2 linked regions of the Struthio camelus genome follow. The main gene of each other region encodes a partner of the protein of the gene in region 2 in a complex. Links are inferred from orthologs where the notes say so. Each region holds a gene or a part of one and is shown on either strand. Other genes may lie near its edges.

Region 1 (11,356 bases), on a different chromosome or scaffold from region 2:
TGCATTGTTATTGCAAATGCTAAGAAATTAGAGACTGATTATGAAGAACCCCATCAAGGACATTACGAACAGCAGGACGAGGAAATATATCTGTATTTCAGAGACAGCAAAAAACACGTGCATCTCAAGTAGGGGAAAGAGTGATTCACTACAGCATGTGCACGGTACCTTACCAATCCTGTCTCCACTAAATCTAACCAACAGACTCACATGGCCAAAAGGTGTCTATGCAAAAGGTGAAGTGCACGAAGCTTCTGTGGGTTTGAAGAAAAAGTGAGACATTCTACATATTACATATTATAATGAAACGATTCATATCTCTCCTGAACCTCCCACAATAGAAGGCATGGTGTAATCCGTCCTGTTTGCCCCTAACTTTTCCCCGCTTCTCCCCACTTCTTCTACCCTGTCCATCTCAGAAATTCTCTCAGCTGTAAATGGTTGGAAACTAGTAATATCACATAAGTTTGCCCTGTTCTTACAGTCTTCCTTTCATATCTGCAGTTGGCCACCATCAGAGCCACGATCCTGAGCTGGAAAAAATGTTTTGTCTGACCTGGTAGTCAGTGTTATGATCTAGAGGCAACTGTTTAGAAAAAAAAGTGATGTTGTGGAATCAGGAATGCTTTAAGTAAAAGCATCTTACAGGCACAACTTCTTACACCTGCTGCATACTATAAACTCTGAGTGTACACCAATATCAAACACTGCTCAGTGTTTCAAACTAGATAATGAGACATGCACAAGTACTGCATCACCCAGATCTGAAGTGGGAAACTCCGTTTATCTGTGTTTACCTCCGAATGCTTCACTTGCTGAAATTACGGTCTGTGGGAAAGCTGGCTTCACGCCAGCCTTCGACTTCCCTTATCATCGACTTCTCAGGATCTGTCCAGCCTTCTCCTTTCTCTGCAGGACACTGCAGCAACAGAATTGTTGGGATCAGAGAATACCTTGTTCTCATCAGGAATAGCTAGCGCTTCCTTGTGGAGGAGGTTCTTGCAGAGGTAGCAGAGTGACGCTACCTTGCTCTGCCAAGAATGTCCGCTCTTCGGCTGGGAGAATTATCTGCGAGGTTGTGCATATTAAGTCGTAATAGACAGATTATCTTCTGGACATCTTCCTCCTACCTTCAGTCCTGAAACTCACCTTTCTCTCTGCCTATCCCTTGCATGTGTCTGTGTAGCAGCTACAATTGCTACATAGATAGAAAGGTGGAACTGGTATAGCAGTTACTTCTACAGAAAAGTAATATTAGGAATGTATTTTTCATAGTCTTCTTGCGAAATTCTGCTGTTGGAAAAAAGAAAGGGAAGTCCTATGTAGCCACAAGCCACTAAAAGTTATTAGCCATAAAAAATAAGGTGGAATTGGAAATGACAAGCCAGTTAATTTCAAGAACATTGCTTGTGTTTTTTATTTGGCTTTAGGCAATCACTTAATCTTTCTTTTTCAGCTACCTTATCTGGAAAACGTGGTAATACTTTACTCAGAAGGGGGCTTGGATAGTAAATTAGGCTGTTTGTTTACTGCATGGAGTGCCACAGCATGCTGTAGAAATATTAGGAATGGTTATTACGTGAGAGAGAGGACTACTTAGAAAATGATTTGTTTACTGTGAATAATCTCGTAACTCCAAAGAGTCAGGACAACCTAGGGCCCAAATTTACAAAGCGCTGTGGCAGTTCCCAAAGGAATCAAGTGCGACACAAAATTCTTCAAAGGGTTAACAAGACATCTTTCTTCTGCAAGGATTCCTGAGAGCTCAATGAGAAGCGTTGGAAGATTTCTGTATGAAGGTAAGGTGATGTATCTAAAGGAGGTTAGCTAAAAGAGCAACCAAAAAAAAAAGAAACAAAAAAAAAAAACAGCTCTACATCCCTGCCAGAGAAATCTACAATGTAAGTACCTGCTTTATAGCTAATCAATTCACTGTAGGTAAAACTACCTACAGTGGAAGTGATTTGACTTATCTAGCTGCCTTTGCATTGAAGTTGATGACAAGCATTCCAAGTCCCTGTTCTGCCAGTTCAGGCATAAGACCAGAAACCCTCAGCAGAAGGCATCAGTAGGTAGCCAGAGATCAAGCAGCACCTCAACTCAGGACAGCCATTTCTGCAGTGACTGTCTGGCAATACACTGCATCACCAACTTGCTACATTTTGTGAGGTATCCACTTAGAAGGAAGGGGAACCTGAGATAGCTCAACAAATCAGGGGATAATAATCCTTAGGAAACACTTTGTGACGGAACAAATGTTAGCTCACATTAGCTAATATTATATTAAACACAGCATAGCAATGAGGTCTATTTCAAAGGGTGTACACTGAGGTCAATCTCAAGCCTTGCATCAAAGTTCCGTCATCTGACCAAAGCGAGAGTTGACCAATAGCACGTTTTCAAATGTATCACTGTTACCCCACTACTAAGCTGTGTTCAACGTCACAGGAGGTAAGCTATGTTCTAACCTATTCTAACATTGAGTAACTTCATTCATTTAACCAATCCTGCTTTGCTCAGTGTGACATCTCCGAGCTGGAAAGGTTCCCCAGAAGTGTTTGAAGAATCAAAGTCTAATACTGTTTTTCTGAAGCATGCTCTAGCAAATAGACTTTCTCCAAATCTTTTTTCTTACCCAGGTTCATGAAGCTAATTACTTTTCTGTTCCTCCTCCTTTATTGGAAGTGAGCAAGCTGGGATAGAAAGATGCCCTGTCCTAACTGTTCTACTTGGTGGGTAAAGCACACTCTAACGTTCTTCCTTAGTTTGCTGATAAAAGGTCAGTTCCTCAGAACAAATTGCACCTTCTGGGGCTCTGTGCAATCACAGGCTCAGCTGTTAGCTCACCAGTAACAGAGAGTCTTTCTGGCGTGGATTCTGCAGGCTTCATGGTTTTTTTAAAGAGCAACCTTCATGACTTTTGACATGTTAGGTAAGAGGGGGGTGGATGTAAAGGTAAACAGTCATACTGTGGGAGCTGCAAACCCAAGGATGCCTGGGAGGTGAGGGAAGTAGAACAACTGTCCTGGGGCAGCGCTCAGAGCAGAGACATCTCAGAAATCCTGCAGCTTCACGTTCCCCTGAAGCGGCTGCTTTTATCCTTCTTCATCCTAACAAACAGCCTTTAGAGGATAAGTCTGCTTTGGTACAACACAGACCACTCAGAGCTCTCCGTTCTTATCATGGCATTAGGTTTTTGGTTTTTTCCTCACCCTTTTGTGTTAACATGGTCAAAAGAAGTGTATTCAAAGCATAAAACAGTGATCATCGCTCTCGACTTTTTACATATTTTCACAACATTTGTCTCCTTTGCCACTGTGCTTCCTTGCGATTTCCTTTACATGATAGTAGCCCCAAATTTTCTGCTGCCATTTATGAGCTGGATACAGCTTTGACATGAATTGAGCAGAGGGGTCTGTTCAGCCATTTCTCATCACCCAATCCCTCTTCCATGGGGAGGGTCCCATCCCATTCCTAGTATTTTGACCTCAGGATGACAATCAAGATTAAACATTAAAGAAGGTGTTCTTACATAAAGGCATGACACCCACAACTTCTGAGCAGCAATCTGAGCTTTCGTGCCTGACTAATGAGAAAATTTAGGAATACAAAAGATATTTCTCCTATGATAAAAAGCAGTTTAGTAAGTCTGATTTTCTGGCATAAGCATTTAAAATTCATTCCCAAAAATGAGTCTGGCTTAAAAATCATGAAATAAGAAAAAGAAGTTGTTTAGGGTTATTTTTACTTCCCTTCTCATTTTTTAGACAATACATTCAGGTCATTTTCAAAATTTTATCTGCCACCGTGAGAGCTAAAAAATTACCTTTTTATCTAAAATTTCTCCTGAACACATTTTTTCAAGAGCTGGAACACTGAGAAAACTAGCATATGCTATAAGACTCACAAACACACGCACACACAAATCATGCAAGCTAGCCACTCTGGGTAGGAAACCAGAGCTCCTGATGGCACCAGCTTCTGCTCACTGTGCAAATCAGGTCATCCGAACGAGATGGATTTCTTCTTTTTCTTCTCCTGCCTGATATTTTTGCACTGTAAGTGTCAAATCTTGGTTGGCAAAGCTTGTTTTTGTAAGCTGTTGCTGTCCTGAACCAAAGGAGTGTGTCTTCTGAATTCTTCTAAAAACATAGGTTTTTTTCCCCCGAAAGTTCATTCAGGGCTCAGATAAAGGCAACAGCAAAAACAAACGAAGCACAGAATTTTAAGCAGCCTAGGAAAAAAATCCCTTCTCTCAGTTAATTGTCTAATCTCAGTTTTAAGTGTATAATTTTACAACTGTTGGAATGCTCCGGGAAATAAAGGGAATATATAATGAAAGAAGTTCTTTCTAGCTTTTTCTATTTAGCATATAAAAGCTCCAAAATGCAAAATTTTACCTCTTTTCCATGTCACTTTTAAAGAGAAATTTCTAACCTCTGGTCTTATAATTGCAACATATTGTTAACTTAAGATGCTTTGACTGCTCAACAGACAGCGAGTTCTCTCCTCGCTAAAATGAAAGCTGGGGGGGGGGGGGGGAGGAAGGCAAAAGAGCCATAGCTATGGAAGGACGGAAATCAAAGGAGAAAAGCCTTACCCTCAGACAAGTTTTGAACTATGTATGGATTTTATTCCCCTCCTAGAATCCCAGACAAGCAATCCTAAAGCTTCTGTGGCTGAAGGACCCATACGTGTATCTCAGAGCTTTGTGTCCCAGAGGGAGCCTGAGAGGCTTGTACTTCTCCCTTCTCAAAACCTGACAGTTCCCAAACCCACTTGTGAAATGATTACCTTGCAGCAGGACTGAATGAACTTCCTTTTTCCAAGCCCTATATGAAGCAAAAATCTAAGTTACGGGGGGGCACTTTGCGAGTTCCCTGTCCCTGACCTTGTTAGCCGGGGTTTCTTGCATACTGGCCCCTTCTCTGACCGTGTGCTAGATCTTAGTGGTAAAAACTGATGGGCTCCTCAACTTCTCTGGGTCCTGACTTCACTTTGCCTGGGCAAGCCTGCCTCACCTGTGACATGTGACTGCTTTTCGCGTCTCCAGCTCTGGCTTGACCATCACCACACGTTTGCTGTGTGCTTGAGAAAACCACTGAAAGTTCATTCTCTCAGCAAGGTCCTAAAATGTCTGTACTAACCTGCAGAATAAGGAAAAGCACTGGTTATAGAAGTAACAGCAGGCATGGAGAAGCACACACATCTGAGCAGCCAGCTGGATGGGTAACTACATGTTCCTCGGTCCCAAGGGGATAACTTACTGCAGGCACGTCCCTCGGAAGAGGCCACTGGGAGCTCATTTCTACCACCCGCAAAGACCTCACTGAACCTTAGGGCCAAAACCCCCCTCTCCGCTACCCTCTTTCTGTGCCGATTAGACGAGCTGGGTGACCTTCTGCCGGACAAACGCGTTGAAACGCCCGAGCGGAGGCAGAGGCTGCTTTTCCACCCTCCCCGCTCCTCTCACAGCGCCTGCGGCCCCCACGTCCCGCCCAGGCCCCTTCTCCTCACAGCAGGGGCGCGCAGCGCGGCGCGGCCGCCATTTCGCGGCGCCTCAGAGCCCGCGCTCCTCAGCCCAGCGGCGGGAGGCGGCCGGGCCGGCGCCTCACGGCGGCGGGGCGAGGAAGGGAGGAGAAGGGGGAAGGGAAGAGGAAAGGAAGGGGAAGGGGAGGGGAAGGGGCACGGCACGGCACGGCGGTACTGCCGCCCCGCGGGCGGTGCTTGCGCGGCCGCGCCGAAAGTTGGTGGCCACGTGGGGCGCGGAGTAGGGCCGCGGCGGGGCCAGCGCTGCCCGCAGTCGCTCCGGGATCCCCGCCGCGCTCGGCCGTCGCCCTCACCATGGCCCCCGCCGAGATCCTCAGCGGCAAGATAGTCTCCGCGTACGTAGCGGGGCGACGGGCTGCGAGAGCCGCCGCAGCGCCCCGGGGAGGGGAGGGAGAGGCCGGGGCTGCCCTCGCCGCCAGCGTGCGGAGGGAGTTTTCCCTTCTCCTTCGGGAGAGCGGTGCTTGTGGAGGAAACCCGTGTGTCAGGGAGAAGGAGCCGCCCGGAGGCGCCGGTTGCCCCGGGTCGGGGCCGGGGGTCCCGGGCGCTGGCCGCGGAGGGGGCCGCGGAGGCCTCGGCCGAGGGTGTGCGCTGCGGTCAGCGCGGGCTGCCTGGCGGGGAGCGGTGGGTGTTATTAAGCAGCCTAGAGAGAAGCAGTAGTGTTCTTGAGGATCTTCAGGAATGTTTGAAACGCTGTCACGCCGGCCCCGAAGAAGCTCGGCCTATCTCGTCCGCTTGGTTTTCTGTGGCACCCGGCAGCCCCCGCCCCGGGGAAGGCCTTGGGGTGGCTCAGCATCCTCCTGGGCGCGGAGGTGGGCGCCTGCATGGATGATGGCCTGCGGCGAGGTGAAACGGCGAAGTGATTTCTAGCCTTAGGTATTTGTGCAGCGCTTTAAGGATCCTTTATGGGCAGGAGTCGGGAACTTGTTTCGATAGGTCTCTGTTTTCATATTATGCAAGCGTGGGTCACACCTTTTTGAATCAAGATAAGTTAATCCGCGGACAATGTTTAAAACATGGACAATGTTAAGGAGGGCTTGCTTTTAGGCGTTGCTGAGAACAACACATCTACCCCCGACTGACAGCGGAGCATTCCTAAAAACTAGGCCTAAACTGTTTGGAATCTGAATATCCGTGATTAAAGGCTGCTCACGTGTTTTTTCACCCTGTAATTGTTGAGCCAATTACTAGAATGATGGCTTGGGTACTTCCGTCTCTGGCTTGTGTGCTTCGTCTCTGGCTTGTGTGCTTCGTTGGACCATCGTGCTTCTGGGAAGTCTTGAAGCCAGTGAATCCTGCCTGCCCTGTGTCTGGTACTGGTAGAGCTTAGTGATTTGCCTTCTGCAGATTTGCTTCTTCTGGCATAGAAATTGCTCTTGAAGTGCAGTAGGCACTCGCAAGGTACATGTTATTGCAATTTTAGCCTGGCTAGAAATCAGGAAAGGTAGCAACTTAGGTAGGATGAGTATGTTTTATAGATAGCCTGAGCATTCACTGTAAAACTTCTAGCTTCCTTGGCAGTATGGTGTTTTGTCTTTTTTTTTTTTTTCTCAACATTTATAGATACAATGGGGAGATATTTCACTTCTGCTGCTGCTTATTTTCTAAATTACGTTAGCAACTGTCTTCAGAGATTAGGACTTTTGTGATGTGCCAATACCTGGGAAAAGGCACATGCTTTTAGTACGTGCATAGAGGAGAAAGGATTATGTCATTTCCAATGAAATGTTGAAGTGTTTGCCTGAAACATATCTCAGAGGCATCCAGTCCTGAAGACCATAAGAAATGGAAAAATAGTTGCAACTGTACAACTGTTGTTCTTCAGTTTATTTATTCCTACTATGGTTATGTCCAGTATAGCAAAATCATAGTGTGCTCTACAAAAACTGGGCCTTAAGTATTTCTTCTTTTTGCCAGTAGAGTACGTCAAGGAGGTATGAGGAAAGGGACTATATACCCTGCAGATATCTTTTTCTTCCAGATCCTCTAGAGAAATAGTGATCCAGAGAACTCTTACTGTCCAGAATGCACCCACAGGCCAAGAGTCTGTCAATAGAAAAAATGATAGGCGTGTGGTTTTTCTAGGAATTTTCAACTGAATTGTCTGTTATAAAGAGGATATTCCTGACTTCATAGTCAACTGAATGGCTTATTCAGTGACTATCTTGTAGAGTATTTTTGTCTGTTACTTTATCCTCTAACCAAATAAAAGGGGTTGTTTGCAAGTCGGTCGTATATTATCAGGTGAGGTGAATCTATCAGCAGTGTACCAGCTGCAAAATTCTAGGTTTCTCTGTGTATTTTAAATGAGAACTGGTAAGTATTGTGTATTGTCTTCTCCTGCCACCAAGCACCTCTTCCACAAAGAGAGGTGAAGGAAGTTCCTAATTCGGAGTCATGACAGTTATTAAAAAAAAAAAAAAATCAGGTAGATACTGACATACTTATTTTTGTGAAACGTATTTAAAGAGAGGGAAAAATTGTGTGTGTGTCTGTGTATGACAGAGAGAAAGAGAGAAGAAGAGAAGCAGAGAGAGAGAGAGAGTGTGCTTCCTTGTTCCTGTGTAGCAGACCCCTACATAAGGGAAATAAGGAAAACTCGCTGAGAACATAAGGCTAGTTTGTACATAGAAAGTCTTGAAGGGCTCAGAAAAGGTCCAAAGAAAATCATCGTATTCAGTTTTTCTTTGTTTGTTTGCTTTTTTAAGTATTACCTGGGAGATTAGTGAATATGGTTGTAAGCTGTGCATGGGGAGGACAGCATGCAGGACGGCAGGCCACTATTGTGTGTGCAGGATTTTGATGTTTAAGTTAATGCGTCTCTTGCTAAGGCCGTTTCTTTCAGTAGAAACAGCCTCTAATACCTGAACAGTCTGCAAAAGGTACTGAGAGCTGGGTAGTTATCTCTGAGTGACTTTTCACAATATCTCTGAGTAGCTTTTCAGTAATTCAGCCTTCGATTTTGCTGCAAGTACAATTTTCCTCATGAGCAAATGAGTTGCAAAGGATGAGTTATTGTGTAACAGTACAGTAAATAATGAATTAATCCAAATGAGAAGGACAGTGCTTTAAGTGTACAGAACGTGGAGGGTTAGGAGAAATGAACATGCAGTATGCTCAAACTTCTTTATTTATGATAAAACCTCTCTGTTTCTGTATCTGAAATAGATGCTCAGAGCAAAGCTTCGGAGTAGCTCTTTCTTGCAGCTTAGGTCCGCTGCAGTGAGCAGTGTGTTCAGTCATTTCCCCAAAAGCAGCCTAGGTTTAGAAAACGCCCCATGCACTGAAAGCTTTGGGTTTGGCTTGAATTGGTGAATAGCACCAGGAATGGATCAGCAGTCCTGGTCTGGATTAGTGGCTGATAAATGGTGATGGCAGGGAGAACTCTGAACACGCCACCCGGCCCTGAGGGGTAGGTCACCTAGTGCTTGCTTTGAGGTAAAAGAAGTACTAGATGAAGTGATGGCCAGGCTAAACTTATAATTGGAGGTAACAGTGCAGTAGAGACAACACCTAGCTTTTTCAGAGTGGGATTGAACAGTTTTATGGAGCTGCTTTGGAAACTCAAACTGAGCCTAGTGTGAACTGAAAAATCTCCCATATTTGTGAGATATGGCTTTCTAGATCCTACCTAGAAGGTTTCAGGCATGCATCAAAGATACCACGCTTTGGATTTATTAAGCTAATGTGAATTGCGTGGTGCAGTACAGTCCTATGCCACTGAGCAGCCCCAGATATGAGCAAGAACCCATTGTATCAGATGCTGTACAAGCACAAAATAAAAAAAAAAAAAGGACCCTGCTCCAAAGCGGTGACAAGCTTAAAAATAAAACAAACTTCTAGTAGGCAGCTGCGCCCCAGTGCTATGATCTCTGCACATCAGAGAGATGGTTACATGGAAAGGGAGAGTCCTTAGTGTTGCAGCCATTATGCAGTTGCCACCTTCAAGGAGTTATGCAGTTGCCACCTCCAACCATTTTGGCTCTACCCTCAGTTTCTGCTTATTCTCCCAATTCAACTTTGAATATTTTTCTAAACCAAAAAAAAAGTTTGTTGTGCGTAATAAAGGTACAGCTTAAGCTGGGTGCCTCCACAGAAGGACCTTGCCCACAAGTTCTTGCTTGTATTGATCCCCTTATAACCCAATCGCAACCTCCCCCCCCCCCCCCAATCATAGTCTAATCCCTATTAACCAATCCTGCAACTTCTCTTATTCATTTCCTTGTGGTCCATTCGTGCTTTCTGTTGCTGGCAGGGGGTTCTTTAGGTTACCTCTGTGACACTTATCTGCAGTCATTACAACGTTCCCTGTTCTGTAAAAACAGGCTCCAGCTGGCCTTGACTGTGGCCACTAGTACTTTGGTTACTAGTGCCAAGTGTTAATACTCTTGCTCTTTTCTTCTTCTGTTAGGGAAAGTACGTGTAGGGGACTGCCATTTTAGAGGCAGGAAAGAAGAAAATCTTACCTCCAGTTTTGTCAACAAAAACCATCGTAGATAAGGAGTATGGTCTCAAGTACTTGCAGCCACACAAACATGGTTTGGGTCCTCATCTATTTCTGTTACCCTTGTCCCGTGATTAAATCATGTAGTTGTTGGATGTTGTATCTAGTAGCCTTGGGGTTCTGATTGGTGTGATTTGCGTTGCAGCATGGGTGTCCACCACCAGCTGATGGTGTTACAATGGGTTTGGGGCAAACCCTTCTGTGTAAGTGTTAAAGACTCTGCTTTGCATGAATTTTTAAAACTCCATTGTTCTTTTGGCAGCCAGCCACATTTGAGAGGTTCCTCAAATGCTGCCTATCTCTTCCCTTATGGATTATAGCTTCCTCAGGTCAGCTGTTTTGTGGCCTTTCCTGGTCGACTGTTCTGCATGTGGTATAAAAACCTGTATTTTAAAAATAAAAAGCATCTTCATATATTTTTCCTGAGGAGTGGCCATGCAAGTATTTGAGCTGACACAACCACGAGAGTGGTTAAAACCCTTGGGAGTGGAGGAGCGGTAGAACGAAGCAGATGCTTCTCTTGGGAGATAACGACAGTGTGAGAAGGTCATGCAGTGGTGGTGGTACCTGAGATAAGAGGTCAGGAGACTTGTCAACTGATTCCAGCTCTGTCATCTGAACAGTGTCTTCCTTCAAATGGAGCCGTCTATTGAATTACAAGCAGCATCTGGGTAGACTTTATCAAAGCGTTTCCATCCCAGCGACACACTGTTGGGGCGGCCAATCTGTGAATCCCCCCAGAAGAGGCTCCTGTGAACTGATCTTGAGTTACAGAGTAACTGTTGATTCCGATTCTTCTCTGTTCTTTGGGCTCCCAGCAGGTTGTTTTGTGGCACACTGGCTTGCGGCATGGAAAGAGTAATCATGCTTATACGGGTTCTTTACAGTTTTTGAAGATTAAGCAGTTGCTATGCTAGTTAGGACATGGTGCCATGGTGGTTTGCAGAAAGGGAAGCTTGTCTCTCCAAGTGGCAAAAAAGTGAGCAAGGGGCAGTGCTGCAGCCTATAGGGAGAAACGGCCATAGGAGCACAAGAGATACCTGTAACAGACGCCACTGAGCGTGTACTTTGGCAGGTCATGACCTGGAGCTCAGTGAGGAACTCCAGCTGCTCTCTCAAACCAGCTGTTCAGTGCTCCGAAGGCTTCAGGCTGCAGAAGCCTGGATGAGGACATTAGGAAATCAGACTGCATGTTTCATCGTCCCCTAGCTGTGGTGCAAGTGGTGTCATTCCCCAAAAGCAAGTGTGCCTGAGGGACAGCAGCCGTGACCAAGGTGGTGGAGGGCCTAGGGAGAACCCTTCAGC
Region 2 (11,371 bases):
CCCCTAAGTTCTTAGACCAGTTCCTCTGAACCTGTCAAGAGGAAGCCCAGTATTAATCTACAAGTGTTTTTAAAATAAGTGCATGAAGTTTCAGTGAATACTTTGTAGGGTTTATGTCGAACAATTTCTTACATAGGTTTATAGATGTATTAAAGTACTAATACATTAAAATAAATTGAGAGAAAGACCAAGGTAGCAAGAGAAAACAATGCAGATGGATCACACAGCACTTAGAGCAAATAACTCAGAAGGAAAATGCATTCCTAGTAAAAGTGATTTTAGAATAATGCTAGGCAGGTTTCATACAATGATCTTTCCAGAGAGCTTATAAACAAAAGCACTCTTTTTCTACCAGAACACATGCTAGGGTCAGTAGGAGAGCATGGATCAGTTTTCCTTACCTAATCTATACCCTTTAAAAAGGCGACCCTTCTCACCGTCCAGAGCGGCCTGGACGTCTTCTAGACGTTCATACTGGACGAACCCATAGCCATGGAACATGCTGAGGGCTGGAAAAATTAACAGCAGGGCAAGACCAGTTACAACTAAGGGACAGTACTATTCCACCCAGGTCATTATATAATCCCATTAGATGGACCACACAAAGGGGCATTATGCAGAAACATCTACTCAAGTTCCTCGGGAAAACCAAATCTACCGAGATCAAAGTGTAGAGTTTAAGGGATTTGAACTACCAGACAATATGACAAAACAGATCAACTTTCTTCTGACAGAACAGTGACCAAAGAAGTCTGTGAAGTGACCAAAATTTGGCTAAGAGACTATGAAATCACTTGATAGCATAGATTTGCTTGGTATAACACCACAGCTCAACCCCAAAAGACAGCTCATATATACATTAGGTTTCAGCTGTACTGAAGGGATTATGTTCTCAGAGAAAAGGCAATTAAAGAAAGTTATCTTTAAAAGGTCACTTTTTAAGGAAAATATTAGTCATTCCTCTCAACACCACCAATTAGTGTTTGACAAGCATGAATGTTATACTTCTGACTGAACTCCCAGTCACAAAAAGGCATAAGATAAAATACTAACCCCTTATTTTGCCATATTTTGAAAATATCTCTTCCATTTCTTCACGAGTCATGTGGTCTGTGGGCAAATTGCCGACAAAAAGTCTTCTCTCTAAATCCTGTGGATTGGTGCTGTTAGTGAAGTCGCTCTGTTTGATGCTATTGCTCTTGCGTCCTCGAGCCATTTTGCTTTCGTTCCAAATCCAACTCTTCGCAAAAAAGAAAAATGGCCATGCATATCATTTCAATCCATGACATTAAAATTAAACTGGAACAAGATTAAACTTAACAGCTTTGCAGACTAGAAGCCAACTGGGTCTGCTTGACGCAAGCTTCACTCCAGCGGAATCTTTATACAAGGGATACAGAAATCTGGCAAAAATGGATACTGCACCATTTTGGTTCAGCTTTTCTGTATTGTCAAAAGGCAGTAAGCCTATTCTATTTTGAAGATATGTTTTAATGATTCAGCGCCAAACTGAAATACAAATAAAACTTGTTTTCTACTGAAAAGTTTGAATTAAGATTTAATACATCCATTACTGACATATCTATTCCCTCAGTTCACTGGTAAGAAGTGTTGACACTTATGTAATATTTTAATAAGCAGAAAGGAAACTCATCTTGACAGCACATAATGGGACCCAAAATATTTCAGTATAGGCTTTGAATGAGATAAAAAAGCAGGTTTTAAAGGCTCTTAAGTGACCATACTTGGATCACTTCACCAAACCTGACGTCTTAGCTTTACAGTAACAGAAAACACAATTTCTCATTCACACCAATACTAAACAACATATCTTTGTGCCCATCAAGATGTCAACTCCTACTGAAGTCGGGTCCACAGCTGGGAATTTAGCCACAACCACATAAATGCAGTATTGTTAACTCATTCCACTAGTACTATGAAGTTTAATTTTGTTAACCTATATTATTGCAGACAAAGCTGGAGCAATCAGCAACACTCACTGCACACACCTACCGAAATAGTCTCAGCTAAGATACTCAGGATTCATACTTTCTGCTTTAAAAGCCACTATAGCATAAAACTTAGAAAGAGGAAAAAAACACTGAAACTTGCAAGCCAAACTTGCAAGACTGAAAGCTATTTAATAAAATAAGGTTGTCATCCTTTCCAAACATTCATCTACAGGAGTGCAGGGTTGAGACTGTCTGTTTATAGGGATGGAAGTAACCTGAAAAAAAGCTCATGAGGTTAAATCGAGCACATCAACAAAACTTTCTACTGTTAATCATGAGGTACTCTATAACCAGCACACTCCCTAACAATAAACTAAGTTGACTACTATTTAAAAGTAGCTTCTAAACAAGCATGTCAAACTTCTTAAATTATAAGACAATTTTACAGTGCTAATTAGCATGAGAAATAAATCTACTCCAGGATTTGAGACTAAGATCCATCAACTCTACATTCATATCACTTTTCTCCTTCTTTTAGGAAGCCCTGTGGAAAAGCAGGGGAGAGAACACCTCCCAGTCTAATTGTCTTCTTAAAAGTGAACGGAGTTGCTAAAACAGGGCGGTGGTTAAAACAAACAAACAGTTCTTATACCATAGTTGTGTCAACATCTTCCTGCAAGGCCAGTTTGTTCTCCCCTGTCATCTTTACTTTCCCCATCAGAAGTTTCAAATCTTGACCCCTTTTTCTTTACAGGGGCACTACAGCGTTTTCTTCTATTCTGCTGTTGCAGCTTAAGTTCTCATCAGTTGAGGGGAGAACAGCCTTCATATAATAAGTTAGAAGAGACCTCTGGAGGTCATCTAGTCCAACTCACACTCTAAGCCAGACCAACTTCTAAGTTAGATCCAGCTGCTCAGGACCTTGCCCAGCTGAGCTCAGAACATTTTCAAGAACAGAGATTCCACAGCCACTGTGAGCACCTCATCATAAAACATCACCCGTGTTTGCAATCTTGAGATACCATATCTACCCTAAGCACCCATCAGCAAAATGTGCAATACCTGTGGGCAGGACATTTTAATTCAGTGTCAAAAACAGTAAAAGACTCTTATCTTTTTCTTCTGGGGTGGCAATGAGAAGGGGTCGCTGGCAGAAGAGAGGGTAAGAACTTTCTATATGAGGAAAAATTGGAATATTTTCCAACTTGCTGGTGGCTTAGAAAATAAAGCAACAAATCCCAAACACTAATCCACAGCGAATTAGTAGAGGGCTTTCACCTAGAAGTATCTACTGCTACTCACCATTTCCCACCCAGTGGAACAAGTGGTTAAGGGTCATTTAATAATCATGAGAGCAGAAGTGAATGCCATCCCAGCTTTAGGCATGCTACACCAGGGAAGTTAATAATGTCACTACTAAGTCTCTTTCTAAGACTTTAATCAAAGAAGCTGAACACATAGCTAGATAGTTTAAAGACAATGATACTCCAGTGCACAAAGGGACCATCAGACCCGGCAGGTTACCACAGAAGAACAGCTACCGTTAGCTCACCTGCCAGTAAATTCCCCACAAGTTAATTAACATCATGTCTCTCTCTCTAAAACTGTAAATTTAAAAACAAAGTTTTATTTCACTAGTAGCGCTACAACTTCAGAACGCGAGACACAGTTGAAGCGGGACACCGAAACCGATTTGGCGCAACGGAAACATCATGCGCAAGTCTGTGAGAAGTTCCTGGGCAATGCCAAAAAAAGAGAGAGAGGAAAAAACACACCCAAAGCAAAAGAACAAAAAGAACAAAAACACAACGCAGGCACCAAACGCAGCGGAGAGCGAGTTTCACCTCCGCCCCGGGCCGCGGCTCACGGTGCAGCCCGGCCAGGCAGGGCGGCTCTCCCGGTGCGCGACCGGGGCAGGGGCGGGAGCCGGGCCGGACCGGGCCGCGGCGCCTCCGGCACGGCCGCAGCGCAGCGCAGCGCAGCGCAGCCGCCGCCCCCGCGGCGCCCCGGCCTCGCCCGGCGCGGCGCGGCCCGGCCGCCCGCGCTGCCTTCAGGCCCGGGCCCGGGCCGAGGCGAGACCCGCCGCGCCCCGCGGCGGCGGCGCCGAGAAGGACGCAGACGCTCCGCGAGGTTTGCTGTGGTACGTCTTTATTCGAGCACGCCGCGCCCCTCATAAAGCCGCGCCCGCCGCGGGGCCCCGCACCGCCGCGCACTTACCGCCGCGCCGGGCCCGCGCCGCCGCCCGCCGCCGCCCGCCGCCGCCCGCCAGGACAAAGGCGCCAACCGCCGCTGCCGCACGGCGCTGTCGCAACGAACGGGCGGAAACGCCGCCGGAAGGGCGCCGCCCCGCGCTTTACGGCGCGGCGCGCTGGCGGGCGGCCGCCCCGGCTCCCGGCGTGCCCCGCGGCCGCCGCGAGGCGTGACGGGAGTCGTAGTCCCGCGGCCGGCGGGGCCGGCAGCCGCCAGGCGGCGCCGCGGGAGCCCCGGCGGCTTCGGGCGGGGCGCTGCGCCCGCCCCGCCCCGCCCGCCCCCGGCCCGCCCCCGCCCCCGGCCCGCCCGCCCCTGGCCGGCCCCGCCCCTGGCCGGCCCCGCCCCGCCCGCCCCTGGCCGTCCCCGCCCCGCCCGCCCGGCCCCGGTCCCGGCCCCGGCCCCGCCCCGCCCCGCCCGCCCGCCCCCGCCCGCCCCCGGCCCCGGCTCCGGCCCCGCCGCCCGGAGCCCGGAGCGTCCCCTGCCCTCGGCTGCCGGCCGGCGGGGCCGCCGGGCGGGGGGTCTCCCCGCCGGGCCCTGCTGGCCGCGCCGGTGGCGCCGGGCTGCCCGCGGGAGCGAGGGCCCGGGGCTGCGGGGACTTCCCGGGCCGCTCCCTGCCGGCCGGCCCAGAAATCCCCGGCCGCCGCCGCCCTGCGCCCTCCTCGCTCCCCTGGGACCGCTCGGGCTTTCGAGCCCGTCAGTTTTGGGAAACGACGGCGGCGCGGGGAATCCGGGGCGCGCGGGAGCGGCGGGAGGCCGTGGGGCTGCCCTCGCCGCCCCGGCCCCGGCCCCGGTGTGGGGCCGTCGCCCCCGGCAGCCAGGCTCGGGCGCGGCTGTGCCGCCCGGCGAGGAGCCGGCGCCGGGCAGCGCGAGCGGTCGGACCAGGGCCGGACTGGCACGGGGCGACCGCGGGCCGGGCAGCTGTGTTGCTGCGGGGCTGCTGTGTGGGGCGTGACGGTCACAGTGTGGCCCTGGGGCAGGACGTGGCGGTGGGATGGGACACGGCCATGGGGGGGGATGTGGTGGTGGGATGGGACATGACTGCAGCGTAGCCATGGGATGGGAGCTGGCGGTGGGACGGGATGTGGCCACAGTGTACCTGTGGGATGGGACGTGGCAGTGGGACTGGATGTGGCCATGGGATGGGACATGGTGGTGTGATGGGACATGGCAGTGGGACAGGACATGGCGGTGTAATGGGTCATGGCCATGGGATGGGACATGGCGGTGTGATGGGTCATGGCCATGGGATGGGACATGGCCAGAGCATAGCTGTGGGACAGGACGCGGCAGTGGGACGGGACGTGGTGGTGTGATGGGACATGGCTGCAGCGAGGCGGTGGGACGGGACGTGGTGGTGTGATGGGACGTGGCCGCAGCATGGAGGTAGCATGGGACATGGCTGTGGGATGGGACATGGCTGCAGCACAGCTGCAGGGAGGCTCCGTGTGACTGCGTGTGGGGCACGGAGGGATTCAGAGAAAGCCCGTTTCCTGCCTGGCCACTCACCATGAACTGGAAACAGGAACTCTGGGAAATTCTCCAAAGCAAGGAAATGAGTCTGGAAGTTCCCTGGGGATTGCTCTGGGGAATCCTCGGCAGGGCAGACCCTGCGGCAGCACCCGGCCCCACAGCACTGCTGCCCCTTCCATGTTCGGGGCTGACGTATTTCTGGGGACTCCGTGCGGATGCCGGCCCTGTGGGGAGGGATGGGGGCCACCGTCCTGAATTACCCTTGGGAAACTGAAGTGAAACCTTGAACTTCTGCCTCCAGAATAAGTTAGCAGGGCCAGCACAAACACTTTCCTCCGCGTGGCCCACCGGTGAGTCCTGCCCTCAGCCGCGCACCCGGGCGAGGTGCGGGCGGCCCGGCAGGCACATGGAGCGGGCAGGGAGCTGGGCGCACAGCCGGGCCCGGGTCCTCACGCAGAGCCACCACGGGAGGAACCGGCGGGTCCGACCCCGGCTGCTCCCTGCTGCCCCGGGCAGGGGCGATGCCGGGCCAAGCTGCCGGGCTGGTGCCCTGCAGGGTCGGCGGCAGGATGACTGAGGCGGGTGCGCGTCCCGCTGCGCCGGTGCTGCCGCGTGCCGGCCGCGTGGCTCTCCGGGCTGGGGTGCGGGGCCAGCCGGGCACGGCGAGCCCTGCGGGGTCTGTGCCAGCGGGATTCCCCTGCCCGGGGACTCCCTGGCTGCTCTTCCGCTGCTCTGCGCGGCCAGCGGAGCCTGGCGCCGGGGCTCCCCGCCGCAGCGCCGCTCACTGAGCATCACCGGGCAGACCAGGGCTGAGGGCACGGGCGCTCCTGGGGCCCGGCGAGCCGGCACCCGCGGGACACCGAGGTGGGCAGGAGCACGAGAGCGGCGCTGGGCAGGAGGGCTCCCGTCATCTCGGTGCAGCGGGCTCTGCCGCCCCTGCCCGTCAGACCCGGGGGGACAGACCCGTCGCCCCCTGCTCTCCGCCCCGAGCAGGGCTCTGCCCTACGTTCCCGGGGGCCGGGGCTCGCCGCCCCGCGGGGACCGGCCGAGGCCGCGCGAGTGGCTCCCGTTGGTGGGACCCGCCGGGCAGCCCCGGCCGGAGCGGGCTGCACCTCCCGCCCGCGGTGCCGGCCCCTCGACGTCCCACGCCGGGGAAGTCCCCGAGGCGAGCGGCTGCCGCCTGAGCACGCCCGCCACTGCGAGGGGGCGTTGGCAGCAGCCTGCGCCAAACAGCGTGTGCTCCGCGAGCCGAGGATGGGCGGCCCTACGTCCCCTTCCTGGGCGGAAACGGGCCGAGGCGTTATTACGGACTGCTCCGCCGCCCCCGCAGCGGCTGCGGGACGCTCAACGCCATGAAGCTGCTCGGACTCCTCTGGCTCCTCTGCGCGGTGCTCTGGGGCGTAAGTGCTGCTTCCCGCCCAGGCTGCGCACCGGCGCCGGCGGCCCCTTCCCACGGCGGCCGGCCGCGGCCCGCGGGGACCGGGCCGGGGCTGGGCAGGGCCGGGCGGCTGCGCGGGGAGCGATGCCGGGCTGCCCCTGCCCGCCCGCTGCGGGGGGAGCGATGCCGGGCTGCCCCTGCCCGCCCGCTGCGGGGGGAGCGATGCCGGGCTGCCCCTGCCCGCCCGCTGCGGGGGGAGCGATGCCGGGCTGCCCCTGCCCGCCCGCTGCGGGGGGAGCGATGCCGGGCTGCCCCTGCCCGCCCGCTGCGGGGGGAGCGATGCCGGGCTGCCCCTGCCCGCCCGCTGCGGGGGGAGCGATGCCGGGCTGCCCCTGCCCGCCCGCTGCGGGGGGAGCGATGCCGGGCTGCCCCTGCCCGCCCGCTGCGGGGCAGAGCGCGCAGCGCGGGCGGCAGCGCGGGGGCCGGGACCGCGGCACGGCGTGACACCCCGGCCAGGGCCGGCCCGGCCCCGCAGGGCTTTCCAGGAAGGCAGCGCCGGCCGCGGCGCCCTCGGGCCGCCCGTCCCTGCCCCGTGGGCCGTCCCGCGGGAACGCTCCCCGCGCCGGGCCGGGAGGCGCTGGGGGTCGGGCAGGACCGGCCGAGGCCAGCGCCGCTGCCGCCGCGCTGGGAAAGCCGTAAAGGAAATCCTGGCCGGGAGCCCTGCGCCCGGCTCTCGCTTCGAGACACAAAAGTTTATTGTTCCTCATTTTTGTGGCTGGGAATTTCCCAGCAAGCGCTCAGCTTCTCGGCACCCTCCCACACGCGCTCGCCGCGCCGTGCCCCCGGGACCCCCACTGCCCGTGCCCGGCCGGTCCCCGTCCCGGCGCCGCTCTCTGCCCGGGGAGCGGGCGCCCCGACGCCCCGCGGACCCGGCGCCGCTCTGCCGCCAGCCCGGTGCTGCCCGGTCGGGGCGCAGCCGCGCTGGGCCGGGGCGCCGAGCGGCCGAGCCCCCGGCACAGGGCGCACGCAGCCCGGCACGCAAAACGGCGCGGGCCTGAGAGCCCCTTTCGGTTCCCTTTCCTGCTACGCAAGAGAAACGCAGGGTGTCGGGCTCCCTCGGGGCCGGTTTCCCTCCGCCGGCCGGGCGCCCGACGCCAAACCTCGCGGCGCCCCCAGCCCCTTTGCCTCCCTCCGCCCCTCGGCGGAGCAGCCCCACGGGACCCCCACGCCGGCCGCGGCGCCCCTTGCTCCCGGCCCTCCCCCAGCCTCGGACCCCGCGGCCCCGCCGGCCCCTCCGTCCCCTCCGCCCGGGCTGGCGCCCACCCGGCTGGGAACGGCCACCGGGCTGGGGCTGCCCCGTGCCGGGCCGGCTCCCCCGCGGGCCGCTCCACTCCCTCCCGCGGCCAGGCTGGCCCCAGGGCTGAGCCCCGGGGTCAGGGGCTGCTCCTGCCTCCCCCGCTGCCTTCCCCTGCCCGCGGGGAGCGAGGCAGGGCTCTGGCCGGCTTCGTGCCCACCAGGCGCCGGCCCAGGGCTTCGCTGCCCCTCGGAGCCGAGCGCCGGGAAGGGGCAGGGGACGCGCGGTTGGCGCTGCTGCCCCTGCCCGGGAGCGCAGGCTGTTGGCAGCGGCGGGGCGCAGAGCGCTGTGCAGTCACCACCCGTTAGGAAGTGTGGGGAAACATTGCACCGGAATTGCTGCCATCCCACTTCAAACGGCGCACTGGCGGCAGGCGGCGGCGCAGCCGGCTCGGCTGCGGTCTGTGGTTAGAGCGGCCCCGGGAAGGGGCTGCAGGACCGCCTCGCCTCGGGACGCGGGCGCAGCGCTGGCCGCCTGCGGGAGCCAGGCTCCCGGCGGGCACCGGGGAGCAGCGCGGACTCCCAGGCCTCTTCTTTTCCAGTGCTGGCAGCCTGTCGACACCGTAAAATGCTCTGAAAAGCAGTATGAGCACAAGGACAAGTGCTGCAACCGGTGCCAGCCAGGTACGGAGACCCTTCCCCTTCGGGTGAGCCCCCGAGCCCGGGCCGTGGCCGGGACCCGGGCGCCTGGTCCCCGCTTGAGCCCCGGGCCGGCTCCAGGGTGGCCAGAGCCGCCTCACCCCATCGCCGGCCGCAGCCCACAGCTTCGCTTGCGTTTCGCCTTCGTGCCAGAGCGGCTGGGGACCTCACGGGACCCTGATAGACCCTGGACCTGCCCCATCTCGCTCGCGCTGCCTGTGCTCCCGCGGCCCGCAGCACCCGGCGGCCCGGGCAGCCTGCAGGCAGAGCGCTCCCGCCGGCGCCGCACCCGCTGCCAGCTCCCTTCCCGGGCCGTTCCCCAGGCCTTGGCCCACGGAGAGCGCGGACGGCCCTCCCGGCCCTCCCGCTGTAGCCCCCGGCGCCGCCAGCCGCCGAGCCCACGGCCGGAGCAGCGCCCGGCCGGCCAGCCGCAGCCGCCAGCGCCCCCCCCGCGTCCTGCCGGCAGAGCTGTGGCGCTGCCCCCCCCACAACCAGCCTCGCTTGCAGGGAAAAAGCTGGTCTCCGAGTGCAACGGCACGGCGGAGTCCCTCTGCGACGCCTGCGAGAGCGGACACTACCAGCAGGGCTGGACCAAGGAGAGGCACTGCAACCCGCACGACATCTGCGAGGACAGTGAGTGTCCCTGCGCCCGCGGCTGCGCCGGGGCGGTCGCCCGCGTCCCGCTGGTGCCTCACCCCCGTCTTGCTCCTCCCGCCCAGACGCCGGCCTCGTGGTGAAGACGGAAGGGAACGCCACGCACAACACGGTGTGCCAGTGCCGGGCCGGCATGCACTGCTCCGACGCCAGCTGCCAGACCTGCGTGGAGAACCCGCCCTGCCAGCGGGGCGCTGGCTTTGTGGCAGGTGAGACGGGCCCGCTCCTCCCCTCTCCGCTGGACCGGGAGAGGGGTGTGCCGCCAGCCGGGTCCTGCTGGCAGAGCTTCGGGAGAGCTCCGGCCTCGCCGCCCTCGCCCCAGCCCGCGGCCCCGTTCTGACCTGCCGCAACCCCTGCTCCTTTGCAGCCAAGGCCGCGGCCCGGACCTCGTCCCCCTGCGAGCCCTGTGCCGAAGGCACCTTCTCCAATGTCTCGTCTAAAACGGAGCCGTGCTACCCCTGGACAAGGTACAGCCCCGCACCCCGTCCCTGCCTGTGCCCATCTCCGCGAGCACGTCCCTTGCTGCCAGTGACTTTTGGGGCCGCGAGGGCCCCATGGCTGGGATGCTTTTTGGGGGGGCAGCATCAGGCTGGCATGGGGCCGGAGAGAGGGGAGCAGCAGCCGTGGGCACGGCGAGGTCGGGGTGGCGCAGCCGAGCTGGAGGCAGACACGGGGGCGCTTGCACCGTCCCTCAGTGCCAGTGCATCATGCTGGGGGCCCAGCATGGGCCGCAGCGTGAGGGGCTGCGGAGACCCCCATCCGGCACGGCTCTCCCTCCTGGCACACTCCCTGGCTGCAAAAATTGGGCTGAGGCACCAGCCGTCTCTGCAGGGAGCGGGAGCCTGGCGTCGAGGATGCCGCGGGCTGGCAGAGCTCCCCTGTCTTTAGGAAGCTGCTCAAGGGTTAATTGCACTCCCTGACAGAAGCCTGTGCCTTGTTTCCAGGCTGAATTAGTCTCGCTTCAGCTGCCAGCCATTGGATTTCACTTTGCTTTTATCTGTGCCCAGAAATTACCTCCCTGTGGAGCCACTTGTAGCCTGTCATCAAGTTGTCTCCAAACCGTTCTGGAATAGCTAAAGTGCCCAAGGCCCAGGGCATCACGGCCAGGGCAGGGTTCAACCCCGTTCCCTCCTCTGCCTCCTCCCTGAACACGTCCCCATCTGCAGCAGCTCCTGCATCCCGGTCCGGGACCCTGGAGCGGGACGTGCTGTGCCCGGCCGGGAGCCCCAGCCACGAGCCCCCTCCGGAGCCCCGCGACTTCGTCCCAGGGCGCTTTCCCACGTGCCCCAGTGCTCCGCCAGCCCCGGCCTTTTCCCCGGGAGCTCCCCGCACGCTCAGGCTCCTGCCGTGCTCACAGGGTCTCGTTCTTGTCCGCAGCTGCGAGGAGAAAGGGCTCGTGGTGAAGGTGAAGGGGACGAACACGTCGGACGTGCTCTGTGGTGAGTGCGCGGTGCCCAGGCTGGACGGCACTGGCAGGGGATCGCCCGGGACGCCGGCTCCGGCGGCGAACGCTCCCCACGGCACCCCGCTGCACGGCCAGCCCCAGCGCTCGGGAACCTGGCCAGCCTGTGGGTGCTTCTGGGAGACGAGCGTCTGACGTTACTGCCGGCGTCACGTCGTGCTGCTCCTCCCCGTCCCCGTGCGGGATCCGCCCGGCACTCGGCCCGGAGCCGGA

Evidence for each region.
Region 1: the proteins of NCOA5 (region 2) and ESR2 are in contact, whole or in part, in a crystal structure (PDB 4ZI1), measured with the Homo sapiens proteins. The link is inferred for Struthio camelus from reciprocal best matches to the Homo sapiens genes NCOA5 and ESR2. Residues at the interface, in NP_066018.1 of Homo sapiens: Ser344, Leu345, Ile346, Leu348, Leu349, Ala350, Asp351; in NP_001428.1 of Homo sapiens: Ile310, Lys314, Phe319, Leu324, Gln327, Val328, Leu331, Glu332, Leu490, Glu493, Met494.

What each region holds. Positions count from the first base shown.
Region 1 is NC_090946.1:75,454,245-75,465,600, reverse strand, and holds the start of ESR2 (estrogen receptor beta), read right to left. Parts: upstream 5,656-11,356; 5' UTR 5,518-5,655; intron 5,148-5,517; 5' UTR 5,022-5,147; intron 1-5,021. Other genes in the region: MTHFD1 (C-1-tetrahydrofolate synthase, cytoplasmic), read left to right, coding at 5,845-5,885.
Region 2 is NC_090959.1:19,463,411-19,474,781, forward strand, and holds the start of NCOA5 (nuclear receptor coactivator 5), read right to left. Parts: upstream 4,317-11,371; 5' UTR 4,170-4,316; intron 1,241-4,169; 5' UTR 1,217-1,240; coding exon 1,054-1,216; intron 510-1,053; coding exon 402-509; intron 1-401. Other genes in the region: CD40 (tumor necrosis factor receptor superfamily member 5), read left to right, coding at 7,025-7,072, 8,946-9,027, 9,550-9,675, 9,762-9,905, 10,064-10,163, 11,074-11,135. UniProt on the Homo sapiens protein: Nuclear receptor coregulator that can have both coactivator and corepressor functions.